Linked DNA regions of Arabidopsis thaliana. The protein of the gene in region 2 interacts with the protein of the main gene of each other region in a pairwise test. Each region holds a gene or a part of one and is shown on either strand. Other genes may lie near its edges.

Region 1 (5,485 bases), 3.7 Mb from region 2:
CGACAATACTACTAGTAAAGACATTACCTAGTGATGATCTCCGTGACCGTGATCACCATGACCATCCCAAGGGTGCCTCCATCCCTATCCATTGCCAATAGCAAGATCAGATTCAGCCACCACGAAAGATATTAGGACCAATAAAATTTACAAAAGCGAGACAAAGATAAAAAATGAAAGAGTTTTACCATAACTACAGGACCATCTTGCTTTGCCCTGTACAGAATCCAGAACCTGAAAATACCAAAAATTGAGTTTTTAAGATGTGAATGCTAGGGAAAGTTAAAACCTATGTGCGATTACTTCTTCAACCATTCTCATCGAACTGAAATTGACATAAGCAATATCTGATTCAAATTAACATCTACCTGATTAGCTCCGATACTAATTTGACAAATCCAATTTTTTGATTCAAATGGATTCTATATACAAAATTCCTCAGATGATCAATTAGCCCAAAATCCCCATGGCGAGATCTAGCTACGATCGAGATTAGCTAGGTCCCAAAATCAAAAGCGAATTAGGTGAAAGAGAGAAATCAGAAATGTACCACATAACGGCGCACAAGCCTTTTCCGGTGACGGTGTGCCAAGTCTTGGGAGTGTGGACAGTGACTCCCTTGTAAGTTATACCTCCGCCATGTCCTCCTCCACCCATTATCTCTCTCTCGAAACCCTAGATTCCCCGATTCGCACTTCAATTTCAGACCGAAAAAGCTTTCTTTCTCCTCAGCTTTGACAATTTACTACCTGAGATTTGATTCAACCATGTGAGTCGTCACTTTTAGTAAGGCCTCAATTAAAAGGCTTAGGCCCAATTTAAAGACCAAAGGCCCATTTCTATATCTGTTTCTTTCACAATGTTTTCTTCCTTTTTGGGCCCTTTAAGAAGTTTGGATACATGAATTGAATGTTTTGTAGATTTTGTAAGAGTTTTTGGTTTTTGTTTTCCAAAAACTTATTTTCATACCAATCAAGATTTTAAAATTTTGGTTTCCCTACAATTTAGAAAAATTATTTTCTTGTAGTTTTCCATTCATGATTTTAGTTTTTTAGTTCTCCTAAAATTTAGGAAATCTAGTTTTTACTCAATCAACGTTATTTTTCTCAAAAACCAAAAACCAATTTTTTGGGGTTTTTGAAACAAAAATATAATAATAAAAATCTGAAACTAAAATCTAAAATCTATAAACTAAAATCTAAATTCAAAAACTGAATCCAAAATCAGCATCCATTCAGGGCCTATAACTTCGTCCCAAATCGTTGTTTTAACCGTCAAAAAAAGACTCAAAATCAAATGATGATACTGTATCATTGATACATTACAATAATTAATTTATTACAAGATCATGTTGGTATACACAAAATAGAACAACCCTTCTCCAAAAAAAGTTAACAATTACTCCAAATGGTTAGGAAACTAATGACTGAAGCTGGCTCTGTCCACGAAAGAGAGAAGAGATTGAAGCTCCCTTGCAGGTGCTGCTCGTGGAAGACTTCTCCACATCATCATAATCATGGGACATGCTCCTTCTCACAAGCATGATGATGTGATCCATTAAACTTCCATCGCAAGGAACTTTTAAAGGACCATCAATGGTAGTCCCAAACTCATCCTCAGCCATTTGCAATAGCACCTGTAACATCGGATGATTCAGATAATCCAATGGTAAAACGAATCTCTTCCCTTCGTTCGTGTACACAGCGAAGTGCCCTTTCTTCCTTCTTCTCCATTTCTCCATCAATTCGGAGAGTCTAATCCCTTTAGAATTTAGTTTCTTCATATGATTTTTGTGTGTGTGTTACTTCGGCTTTGATAGTTTCGTTGCGTATGTATCTGTCTGTATGCAACCTTAATTAAATGCCTAACTGCTTCTCTATATATATAGCAATATATGGACCAAACTGTGGATTTTGATGTGTGTGGAGGGAAAAGGATGTTCGTGCTTATTTGATTGTTTTTAGTTGCTTTTCAAATTTGTCCACAAATTGGATCACGACCACTCGTGGAGTTATGTACTGACCTTCTACAAATATCTAGAGATTTTCGATCTTTCTAATTATTTCCGTTTCAAAACATGAATTACGACTAAATGCAATTATCTTGGTTACTAACACACTTGTTTTTGTCATTGTCATTAATGAACTTTGACAAAGCTATATCACCATGTAGACAGTATCTCATTATTTGGAAATTAAGTTAATCAAATCAAGCTAAGCTAGTGTATTGACAGACCATAACATTACAAATAATACTAACTATTACCACTTTTTCTTTAACAAGATACTAAAGTAGTTGCAGAGCGCAAAGGTAATGATAGAAACATGTGAGCGTTTCGAGCAAGTTGCTTGCTACTTTTCATTTTATAGTTCTCTCTTCTACTTTCATGAGTGTTCGTTGTTTTTCTTTTTCTCGTCACATGAAAATCCTGCAAATCATTTTTTAAAAACTTTTTACAGCCAACAAATCTAAATCACTTCATCATGATATTAAGTGTAACATAGATAGATGGAAAAACTATCTTTAATCACAAAACGCTCAAGTTAACAATCCGTGATCGTGCCTAGGAAAAATAAAGCAACCTCCCATACTACTTTATACAGGAAAACAACCTTTACAGCACTTTTGTTCTGATTTGTCTAAGCTAAGCCTTGAAATTGCAGTCCCTGGTTTCATATCTCAAGTTCAGGTCGATTCTTCAAAGGACAAAAGCGATGCGTCCCAGAGTCAGTCTGAGCTTAGCTGTCATCTTCATCAATGCATATGGGCACAAAACTCATGCCAGAGAAGAGTTGTGGTTTGGTTGTGTGAGAAGATAAACGGTTCGCAACAGCTCAATGGTTTCGGTCTTTACATAGAGAGAGGAAGAAGCATCCTTCGCTTCTTCTTCCTAGCATGTCTCACTTGCTTTGTGATTTTCATACAGAGGAGTAATAGTAAGGTGACACAAAGCAGGATAAAAGCAAGTTGCAACCGCCTGAAGTACAAGGATACAGCTGAAAACACCACGAGTGCTAACATCACTAGTTCCCATATGACAAAGACTACAACATCAACCCTGAATCAAAAGCAAACGAAACGAATAGCATAAGTACCACTATAGAATGTTCATTGTCAAAATTTAACAATAGAATCCAGATTGCAACAGAGTCGATAAGAATGAAAAGTGTATGTCAAATTGTCAAAGATGGTTCAACGTGGACAAGTCAAAATTATAGTTCCTTGTGTAGGATTCACATAGATATCCAATGTTCAACGACAATCCCTTAAAAGATGAGAAATTTACGGTTCCAATTGAATTAAATATCACAAAGTACAATTTTTCAAATACAACTCTAAGCACGCAGCTCCAAATCACAGCAGATTAAAAAGGAAAGGATAAGCCGGAGATCTCTAACCTGGAGGAAGAGAAATTGGAGGTGGAAGAGAAGAAAGAAACGGAGGCCCAATCATGCTTTGATCTAATCTGATATTCCCTGAGCTGTTCTGCTAGATTCGATCTTGTTATCATCGCTTCTTCTCCACCAAGTCCCGATCACAGTCCCGATTCGACGAAGAGCTCAAGAAGCGTTTGAGAATCACGAGATGTAGGAAAAATCTATCACCAACATATAACTAGAATCTAGAAATCCAAAACAATGGAAAAACAAAATCTGTGAATTGGAAAATTTCGCATCAAAATTTTACAGCGACGAAACGGTGTCCGATTCGTTAGGAATTCGGCGAACGTTGCGTGGACTCTCTCGGTGTCAACAACCGGGTCGGGTTATAGATCCGATCTGGATTCTTAAGCCCATTTTATGGGTATTGGGCTTTTACCGTTACTCTTTTGTTTTGAGTTGTCATCATATATGAAAACTTTGTTCCGATGCCATGAAATTTGGGCTTTTAAGAATCATGAAAACTTTGTTCTAACAGAAATAGAAACATCAAAGAAAAAGAAATAAAACAGCGATGCATCGATTGATTCTCATGTCCCACCAAGTAAAGCGAGTGCTAAATATTGTTGAATATTCCTGATTTGACCACAATAAGGAAAATATCACGCCCATAAAACTCAGACGGGCGGTGAAAAAGAAGAAATCGACAGAAGAACAAACGCATGACGTTCATTACTTAGCACTAATCTGAAACTTTCGAATTATAGTATTTGATCCATATGTATTCTACGTTTTTCAGAAAACTTTGTTCAGATATCTCAAACTTTCGAATTAATTAATATTATTTTAAAATCTATAGTTTAGTTGTGAATTCTAAGTGTCGGCTACAATTTGTCGGTTCGCTATCACCGAAAACATTATCCAAAGAATAAGTTAAGAGCTGAGCTTCGGTGTATATGACAACAAGAACCAAAAAGACGAATAAGTTAGTATTGAAAAAGATAGGTTTGTTTGATATGTGTGTTGATACGTCACGGTTCGTGCTACGTCTTTGTTAAATTTAGAGACCAGAGATTACTGATGTGGCACGTCGGTTCATTTTTTTTATTTTAGGCGAATTTTAAGAGATGATGCATTTACCGATTACCATCTGTCCTTCATTAATATTTTTAGTATATCTTTTTCAATAGGTCGAAAATGACATCCCACACATTAACATATTAATTCATAAGAAATCCAAGTCATCTTATGCTCATTTGTCTACTCATGATTTCATTATCTACATCTAAGTTTATCTTTAAAAACTGCATGAAAACATAACCATTTACGTTGAAAAAATACATACACAAACCCTTTTCCCATAAACGAGATTACGAAAGATTGTTTTATGTGCCCCAAAAATGGTAAACAAAAGATGATGCTAACTTTCTATTCGTTCTAAAATCTAAATCTTTAGTTTTAGTTTGTTTATGTCCACGATCATTTCTTTGATAATACTTTTGGCGGATTCACAAGCGCAAATTACCCGTCTTATTGTAGCATTAGGACTAAAAATGAGATCCGGTAGCATTGCAACAACACCTTCCTAATCGATTGAGCCAATCGGACTTATATTACTTGTTGGATTTGTTTTTTTTTTTGTTTAGAGTATCCAAGATCATGTATTTACAATTTCAAAGATCATGCGTTACTAGATTGGCCTCTTCAACATGTTTAGTGAATAATAAGTTAAAATAACACCTAATCGTTGAGGATTCATAGCGTGATAAGAATTAAATAACCAAGTTCTTATTGGTTTGTTTGTATTTTGTAACGCATAGAATAGAAGAAAGAAAAAATAAGGAACGTTATAAATTTCTAAAAAATCATCATTTCTTCTCGAACAAGCTTGTTCCAGCGTGGCACTAGTCAATAAGTCAAGTGGACCCACGTAACCGACATCACGTCTTTTACGCCAATCAGTACATACTATTGGGTCCTACAAAAGGACAACTTCCCATGTTATATTGACACGTTTTAAGATGTAATTGATTAATCTAAATTTCTCTCTGACTCTTTTCTTTGTCTACATCCGACGTTCCATTTCTGACTATGAGCTCCGTCGT
Region 2 (8,693 bases):
GTTGTTCCTCCCGTGGAAAATGTTTCCACGTGTTGTCCGCTATGAAAATGAACTACTCACCATGACTCTATCGAGCAATCTTACTCAAATTTGCTTTTTGCCTTCTTCTTCTATTTTGTCTTTTTATATTTCTTTCAAGATAACTACCCTTCATCATAACAATATGGTGCATGAACAGTTGAATCTTATTCGGAAGATTGTTGGTATATTAGGAAACTTCATCTCTCTATGTTTGTTTCTATCGCCAACGCCAACGTTTATACACATAGTGAAAAAGAAGTCAGTGGAAAAATACTCACCATTGCCATATTTAGCGACTCTCCTAAACTGTTTGGTTCGTGCTCTTTATGGACTTCCTATGGTTCATCCTGATAGCACCTTGCTCGTTACAATAAGCGGTATAGGAATCACGATCGAAATCGTTTTCCTTACAATCTTTTTTGTATTTTGTGGTCGTCAACAACATCGGTTGGTAATATCCGCTGTTTTAACCGTTCAAGTTGTGTTTGTGGCTACCCTTGCGGTTTTGGTCTTAACTCTCGAACACACTACCGATCAACGGACGATAAGCGTTGGGATTGTATCTTGCGTTTTCAACGCTATGATGTATGCTTCTCCATTGTCTGTCATGAAAATGGTAATAAAAACAAAAAGTTTGGAGTTCATGCCGTTTTTGTTATCGGTAGTTGGTTTTCTAAACGCAGGTGTTTGGACAATTTATGGCTTTGTGCCTTTTGATCCATTCCTGGCTATACCAAATGGGATTGGGTGTGTTTTTGGACTAGTACAGTTAATATTGTATGGTACCTACTACAAATCTACCAAAGGGATAATGGAGGAAAGGAAGAACCGACTCGGTTACGTTGGTGAAGTCGGATTATCCAATGCGATCGCTCAAACTGAACCCGAGAACATCCCATATTTAAACAAAAGAGTTAGCGGCGTTTGATTTGGTCTTTTCATGTTATTCACTGTAAGTTTATTATATAATCATCTAGGATTTTTTTTATATTTTTAGGACTGTAATATGCGAATAAGTCAAATTTCGTTGTCCATAGTTCTCAGAAGCCGTAGACTCTTTTAAAAATATGACTTCTCTCTTTGGTCATTTTTTTTTGTTTGAGGACCATTTCTTCAAGAGTGAAAATTGAGAAAAAGTCGTTGATGTTTCTTGAACAAATTCACTAAAAATGCAACTAATGTTAACCCATAGTTTGTACTTATTCTTCAATTAATCAATGAGTCATTTATCCAAAATTTATCAACAAGAATTCTCTCCCTAGACTTGATTGCCTGAAAAGTTTCCCAAATAAATAGAAACAAATATTAACTCGATTTCCCTAGAACCGAGTAAAGGATTAGAAACAGATACAAACTTGGTTTGATCAGCTCTTTGGTCCAAATATTTTGGTGAATTTCATAACAAGAATTAGGATTAGGGCTTGTAGTGTTGAACATGAGACTAAATCAGCCCATAGCCCATTCCCATTAAAGTGTAAGTGGAAAGATGAAAAAAACAAAAGTAGTCCAATAGGGAATACCACTGAAATAATAAGAAGTTTTGTTCACATAAGCTCCAATTTTCTCACACTACCTAAACACAATGAGGCATATTGTTCATGGCCAAGAAAATTAAAAACATGGCTCCTAAACCGGAGAGGATGGTTAAGAAAGGCTACCGGAGAGTGCAGTCAAGAAGCTCTCCATAAGGATTGAGAAGTTAAATATAAAAAGTTCAGATTGAGAGAAGCAAATACAAAATGAATCTAAGTAAAGAAAATTTAGTCCCAAGCCCATCTAATGACCCAACCTAACCCACCCGTCCAAGCATCAAGAGAATTAGCTCCTTCCCCTACTTACACAAATATGGTGACACAAGGCCACAAGCCTTTTGAAAAAAGAAAAAGCAAAAAAAAAATAAAGAAGGCCACAAGCCTTGGACATGAAACCTTCACCTTATATACTAGCAGATTTTTTTCTCCAACTTCCAATATGTACAAAAACCACTTTATCCATTTTGTGTATTTCATATACCCAACTTTGGATATCCATTTCTCACTCAGAAACAAACCTCAAATTTTACGTTTGAGTATACACTACAATCTACAAACTACAAAGATAGTGCTTGTAGATTAGATGAATCCAACGTTCTCAATGTAGTTTCGAGTGACAAATTTGCCGAAAATTAGTTTTCGGAAAAATGTCCAACGTAACATCCCAAAATTTAAGTTTCAATACCAAGTTGGGTTTATTGCTAGTTTTAGAATGAGGTTCAATTGAAATATAATTGAAAACCCCTCCTCTTGAGCAGGCGTATCAGGAATCCAACATTAAAAGTGTGATGTAACCGAGAACGTAATATAAAAATGATATGGGTCAATCTATTTATTGTTAGGAGTTCCATGACAAGACTCTTACGTTCATGAAATCAATATCTTGATGCAAAACTGAACTTGAACATGGACTGAAGCGAGGCTAGATTCATTTAACAAGACTCTCACGTTCGTGAAACCAATTTACTGGTGCAAAACTGGACTTGAACATGGACTGATGCGCGGCTGGATTCATTTGACAAGACTCTTACGTCCATGAAACCAATATACTATATTGGTGCAAAACTGGACTTGAACATGGACTTCTGCGAGGCTGGATTCACCTCATTGTATAACTGATTTTGCAAGTCCATACATTTTTGTTTCTTGGATTGATGTTGATTTAATTTAACTTTTTGTTAATCTTCAATATTATGTATGACGTGTCGTTGCTTCCACGTGTTTTCTGCCATAACAATTACCTACTCACCTTGACTCTTATGAGCATCTCTTGTCGGAGAAAGTATTCAAATTTGCTTTTTGACTTCTTTAATTCTTTGAGTATATCCTTTCAAGATACTCTCTCTTTGGTTCATTATTTGTTTTTTGGCCACGTAAAGTTGTATTATAGACTTTATAGTATAGAAGTTTTAAGCTTGAACCAATCAACTTTGGTCACTCTTTAATTCATCTATTATATACCAGATCATTTTTTAACTGAGATATATTTTCAAACTTTCTTACACTCTAATATCATATGAAAGACTATAATGTACTTTCAATATAAATTACAATCAACTGAAGGTTATTGCACAAACACACACAAAAAAAGAAGCAATCAAAATCCCCCAAAAGTTTGTATTTCTTTTTTTCTTCAATTAAGCAATGAGTCATGTCTCCAAACTTTCTCATCACCAATTCTCTCCCTAGCCTTAATTGCCTGCAAAATTTCATTGAAGAAAAAATGTGTAAACAAATATTAGCTCGATTTCTCGAAAAATCGAATGATGGATTAGAAACAGAAAAAAGCGAGTTACGCGGTTACAATCACCTCTTTGCTCCAATTGGTAAATCCAATAACAAGAAATAGGATTAGAGTTTGTAATGTTGATCCTGTGACTAAACCAGCCCAAAGTCCTTTCCCATTGAAGTGAAGATGAAAACACAATAGAAGTCCAACAGGAATACCAATGACATAATAAGAGGTTATGTTCACATAAGCTCCAATTTTTTGCCACCCTGTTCCTCTCACAATCCCTAAACAAAACAAAACATATATTCGGTTCACGTTCACAAAAAAATAATAACATGGTTGCAAAACCGGAGATGCGTGTTAAGAAAGGCTAACCGGAGAGGACGGTCAAGAAGCTGTCCATGAGGATTGAGATACAAAGAATAGGAGTGATATCAGTCACATAACTAATTACTTCCTCCACATTGCTATATGCATAAGGCCACACACTGCGAGACAAGAACAGACTAGAGCTCACAATAACTGACTCAACAGCTGCAATTATGATTGCAGCCGCAGCAGAATCACGAGCCCCTCGCGGATTCCCAGCTCCTAGCTCATTAGCCACATTGGTGCTAACCAACGAAACAAAAAAAAATGAAACATTAATTCTTCGAAAATAAAATGAAGTGAAAATTCGATGTAAGAGTATTAAAGTAAGAACAAACCTTGCTGCATCACCAATTCCATTTACTAGATTGTAATGCAATGAAGAGGTCGTGAGGCTGCTCAATCCCAAAAATTAAGGCTTAGAAAATGAAAGAAAATATAAGTATCACAGATTATATAGTTTTGCGGTTCGATACATTACCAAATCGAAATAACCGATGTTTCGAGCTTTGAGTTGGGTAGAAGACCAGACAGCAAAGTAATGACCTCGAAAGCTAACCACTCAAGGCTATTGAAGGAAGCAAGAGCAATAAGAAAATAAGTGTCAATAGAATATTAGTGAAGGGAAAAAAAATCCATTACACATTTATTTATGTAACCTAAGATTTTAAATCTTTCACCTATCCACAAAACAATGACCACCACTAGACTACCATCACTTGGTTAATTCTATATGGATTTTTAATAAAGTTGTACATACTTACCAACACATCATTGCAGAAGGAATGGCAAATTGAAAGAAGATATTTGTATGAACAAAAACATCCTTGGACATATAAATCCGCGTTTCGACACAACGACTAGAGCGTTTCATATAAACCCAAAGAAAAACCGCGTTGAGCCAGTAAGAGATACCGATAGACGCAGCCGCTCCTTTGGCTCCAAAATCAAATTTATGAACCATTAGCCAACAGAGAGGAACATGGAAAGACAGAGCAGCTAGAGAGCTCAAGACCATTGGATAAATCAAGCTTTGTGACTGAAAATATCGAACCAACGACTCGAGAACAGAGTAACCGAATAAAGCTGGTACCAGCCAGAGACAGTACACACCAGCTAACTCTGCTATTTGAGGATCTTGATGAAGCAACAGCAAGATCTGGTTCATGAACATCCAAAGAATCGAAATCGGAACAGAGATAATCAAAAGGAAAACTATTGAAGTGAAAGTGTAAGATCCAAGCTTGTGATATTGTTTTGCTCCATATGCTTGACCACATAGTGTTTCCAATGAACCTGAAAGTCCAAACTATATAGTATACAACAATAATTAGAAACAAATTAATCCAATACATATATATATATAAAGGTTCATATACTTGCTTACAAGAACACCAAAGCCGGTAACATTAGCAAAGGAGCTTCCTAGAGCGATTCCGGCGAGAGCGAGTTCGCTCCGGTGACCGACGATCATTGTAGAAGTTGCTTGAAGAAGGTATTGAGACATGTTCACGGCGACCATTGGAGCAGCCATTGAAGCAACTTTCTTCATCTTCTCCCATCTTATTTTTTCTTTATCTTCGTCTTGTGATTGTTTGGTGTTCAACAATAACGGAGTTTCGATACTCTTCTTCATTTTTTTTTTCTTTCTGGTTAGAGAAAATGTTGGAAGTTGTGTCGTATTTATTTAGCTTTATGATTTTGATATAATAAAATTTGTATTTTGATAAATAATATATGCGACGTCGCGACTCGAAGAAAAGAAAATAAACACGTTTCCGCTTCCGCGTATAAAAGCGAAATCGTTTTCGACTTTTATCATCTCACTCATTTAAGTCAAAAGATAGAATTCAGCACGTGTAAGAAGAAGATGCATCCTAACTAGTAACTAATAATTGGTTCCTATTTGTAGTTTGTACTTAAAAGATTTTAGTTGTGGAGTCTTTTTTTTTTTTTATGCCAGAGAAATTAATTAGACAACATAAAGTTTGTTTTGGTTGTATAGCCTTAAAAAGAAAAGTAAAACATGAATGGTTCAGTTTTAAGGCTTTGTGAGTTGTTGAAACTTTTTAGAACCTTTTACCAATCAAATACATTTGTGGTTAAAACTTAAAAATCATGTCGGTTCTTGAAAAAGGCAAGAGTGGTATTAACAATATTTTTGATTAGCATGAGATAGAACTGGAACACAGAACAATATAATACCTTAAGAGTATCAAACAGATATGAAAACTGAATTAGAATCGGTGTTTCCTCTTCAAGCCTTTACTAGTTGCTTCGCTTTGTGTTTCTTATCGTGTTATCTCTTGTATTCGTAGTTCCTTTAGTCGTAGTCTTTCTCCCTTTTTTTTTTTTTTTTTTTTTTTTTGCTTCTATTGTTTACTCTGTATTCTGTCTCAAACTTGAAAACGGTATAAATACTTAACATCGATACCAAAAAAAAAAAAAAAACTGAATTAGAAGATTTTTAAATGTATAGAACCACATACTGATCATCAGTTATTATTTAATTAGTCATAAAATGAGATATACATTTCTAAAGAATAAGGAATAAAAGTCTCTCTTCGTATTGATTGCATTGGCTCAAATCGATAAACATCGGTCCATGATCAATATTTTTAATATCATATCATTTATTTAAGTATTGAACCTAAGATGGCTTTCAGTGGTTACCATCTTACAATAGATTTTTTTTGTCAGCGTTAAACCACTTATGAGAAAAAAAATGTATAATATATGTAGTAATAGCTAGTTTTCAAAAGAACAACAAGATAAATTGTTATTTTGTCAATAGATGATATATGAAAAAGACTACTCATGACAGCGTGATTTATGTAAATTGTGTAACATAACTATAGATTAATTTAATATTTTATAATTATTTATATTATATGATATTTTTATGAATGGTTGAATTTTTTTAAAAATGGATATTTCTTAATCTGCATATTTAACTAAAACCTCTTATATTTTGAAACATAAAGAATACTCCTAGACTAGACATGCTGAGGCCTGAGAGGACAAATGAAACTAAACACATGTTTCAATACTGACCGACAGAAAGAAAAAAATAAATAAATGAAAAGAATAATAATAAAACACATGTTTCAACTTTAAATACATATCTCGATGAACCTAACCTAATCCACATCTCCATGTTAATTCATTGACAAAAACTCCAATCCATGATAATACTCCAATAACATAAAGTTTTAGTTTTCAAAATCATTGTTAAAAAGTACTATCGACTTTATATACTCCACAACATAAATTTGAAATTAGTCAGACTAAACCGCCAAAGTTAAGATTTTGTTTGTGTTTCTAAACAAACAAATTTTGCTCTACTTGATATCAATAATAAATCCGTCTCTTAATGACATTTTTTTTTACTATTTCGTTAACAAAATAGATGTAACTTAACTACTGATTACTAGTATTATTTTTGATTCAATATATCATACATACTTTTTACGTTTTAGTATAAATGTCATTTACAGGTTCTTCACATATAGTAAAAAAACAATTAGATTTTTTTGTCTATCGCTTATTAATATATTATACAATTTTTTATAATTGGTCAATACATTAAAATTGAATATTTACCAAATATCTACACTAAAAATAATAACAATACTTATTTTGAAATAAAATTTTAACACTAAAACGACACTTATTGTGAAAAGAAAGAAATGTATAACTTATAAAGTTAAAAGTTATAACCGAGAATATATGTATTCACAATGTCATTTACAGGTTCTTCACATATAGTAAAAACATTTTTTTTGTTTATCTCTTATTAATATATTATACAACTTTTTTTTATTGGTCAATACATTAAAATAGTAAGAATAGAATTGCAATTTCACCAAATACTGTAACTACATTCAAAATATAAAACAATACCTATTTTGATACAAACTTGTAAGAATTAAACCACACTTATTGTGAAACTAAATAAAAGTATAACTTATAAAGTTAAAAGTTATAACCGAGAATATGTATTCACAATCCGTGATATCCAATTGAGAGTAGTCCAGTCAAGAACTGCATTATACACACTGAAAAAGAGGAAGCCATTTTCTTACTTATCCTCGTCGAAGTTATCAAAAATAAATAAAGAAACAGAAGTTGTTGAGAAAAGTATTAATAATCGGTTCTGACTTCTGACATCGTGTGTTGGAAGAAATAATTAATACTTACACAGAGCATTTTGATAGTTTCAACTTTCTTTTTTACTTATGTTAAACTAACTCTAATCACATGTATTATGTATACAAATTCATATTTACGTTCACTTGGTTTAAAAAAGCACTCCACATACTTCATGCATCTTGATAATCCAACTATCTCTTTGTTTTTTTCCTTTGACATGGAATAACTTTATCAATCTAATCGATGAAAGAGATCCGATTGGTGAAGTTGAGATCTATCGCAAAAGAGTTGTTTCCGCGAAGAATAGTGAAGTCGATGATGGCATACCTCTCGGCCACACTATAAGCAACCTTTGAACAGTAGTTACTAGAGATTTGGTGATTGCATGCTTCAAATCAAATTAAAGGTGTTGTCAAAACTTTCTAACTACTCGAAGTTTCATAGGTAACGTTGTATTATTGCGGTACACCATGTTATCTCATGGGTAATTGCTTAGTGAGACTCTTAAAGTAATAATAAAAAAAAAAATTGGTACGGAGATATGGTACTAATAAGCAATTTCATGAGAAAATGTACAAAAACAAATAGTTTTACACTAACCAAAACCGAACCCGGATTTCTTTTGGTTAATTTAGGTAACCCTCTAGAAATACTTTGGTTAACCGAATTGGCTTCTTAGATAGAGCCAACCTTGGTATTTAATGCACGTTCATTTTATTGTTGACAGAGAAAGCTTTCAACAAATTGTCGGAAAAAATTGAATTCTCGTATTAATACCTAAGATCAGAGAAAAATGTTACAATCGTTTTTGGCTTCACACATTATATACATGGATAATATCGCCGCGTCACTGCCTCAACTACTTAGCCAAGTGGCATAATTGCTGC

Evidence for each region.
Region 1: the proteins of AT1G66760 (region 2) and AT1G76185 interact in a protein complementation assay, tested with the Arabidopsis thaliana proteins (one large-scale study listed by BioGRID).

Annotation. Positions count from the first base shown.
Region 1 is NC_003070.9:28,588,523-28,594,007, reverse strand, and holds AT1G76185 (NADH-ubiquinone oxidoreductase chain), read right to left. Parts: upstream 3,684-5,485; 5' UTR 3,512-3,683; coding exon 3,399-3,511; intron 3,059-3,398; coding exon 2,851-3,058; 3' UTR 2,477-2,850; downstream 1-2,476. Other genes in the region: AT1G76200 (NADH dehydrogenase ubiquinone 1 beta subcomplex subunit), read right to left, coding at 28-84, 189-234, 551-657; AT1G76190 (SAUR-like auxin-responsive protein family), read right to left, coding at 1,412-1,783.
Region 2 is NC_003070.9:24,898,707-24,907,399, reverse strand, and holds AT1G66760 (MATE efflux family protein), read right to left. Parts: upstream 5,519-8,693; 5' UTR 5,291-5,518; coding exon 5,042-5,290; exon of another isoform or gene 4,964-5,041; coding exon 4,419-4,963; intron 4,223-4,418; coding exon 4,136-4,222; intron 4,050-4,135; coding exon 3,993-4,049; intron 3,900-3,992; coding exon 3,661-3,899; coding exon of another isoform or gene 3,656-3,660; exon of another isoform or gene 3,570-3,655; coding exon 3,364-3,569; coding exon of another isoform or gene 3,346-3,363; exon of another isoform or gene 3,253-3,345; coding exon 3,187-3,252; 3' UTR 2,957-3,186; downstream 1-2,956. Other genes in the region: SWEET6 (Nodulin MtN3 family protein), read left to right, coding at 164-949.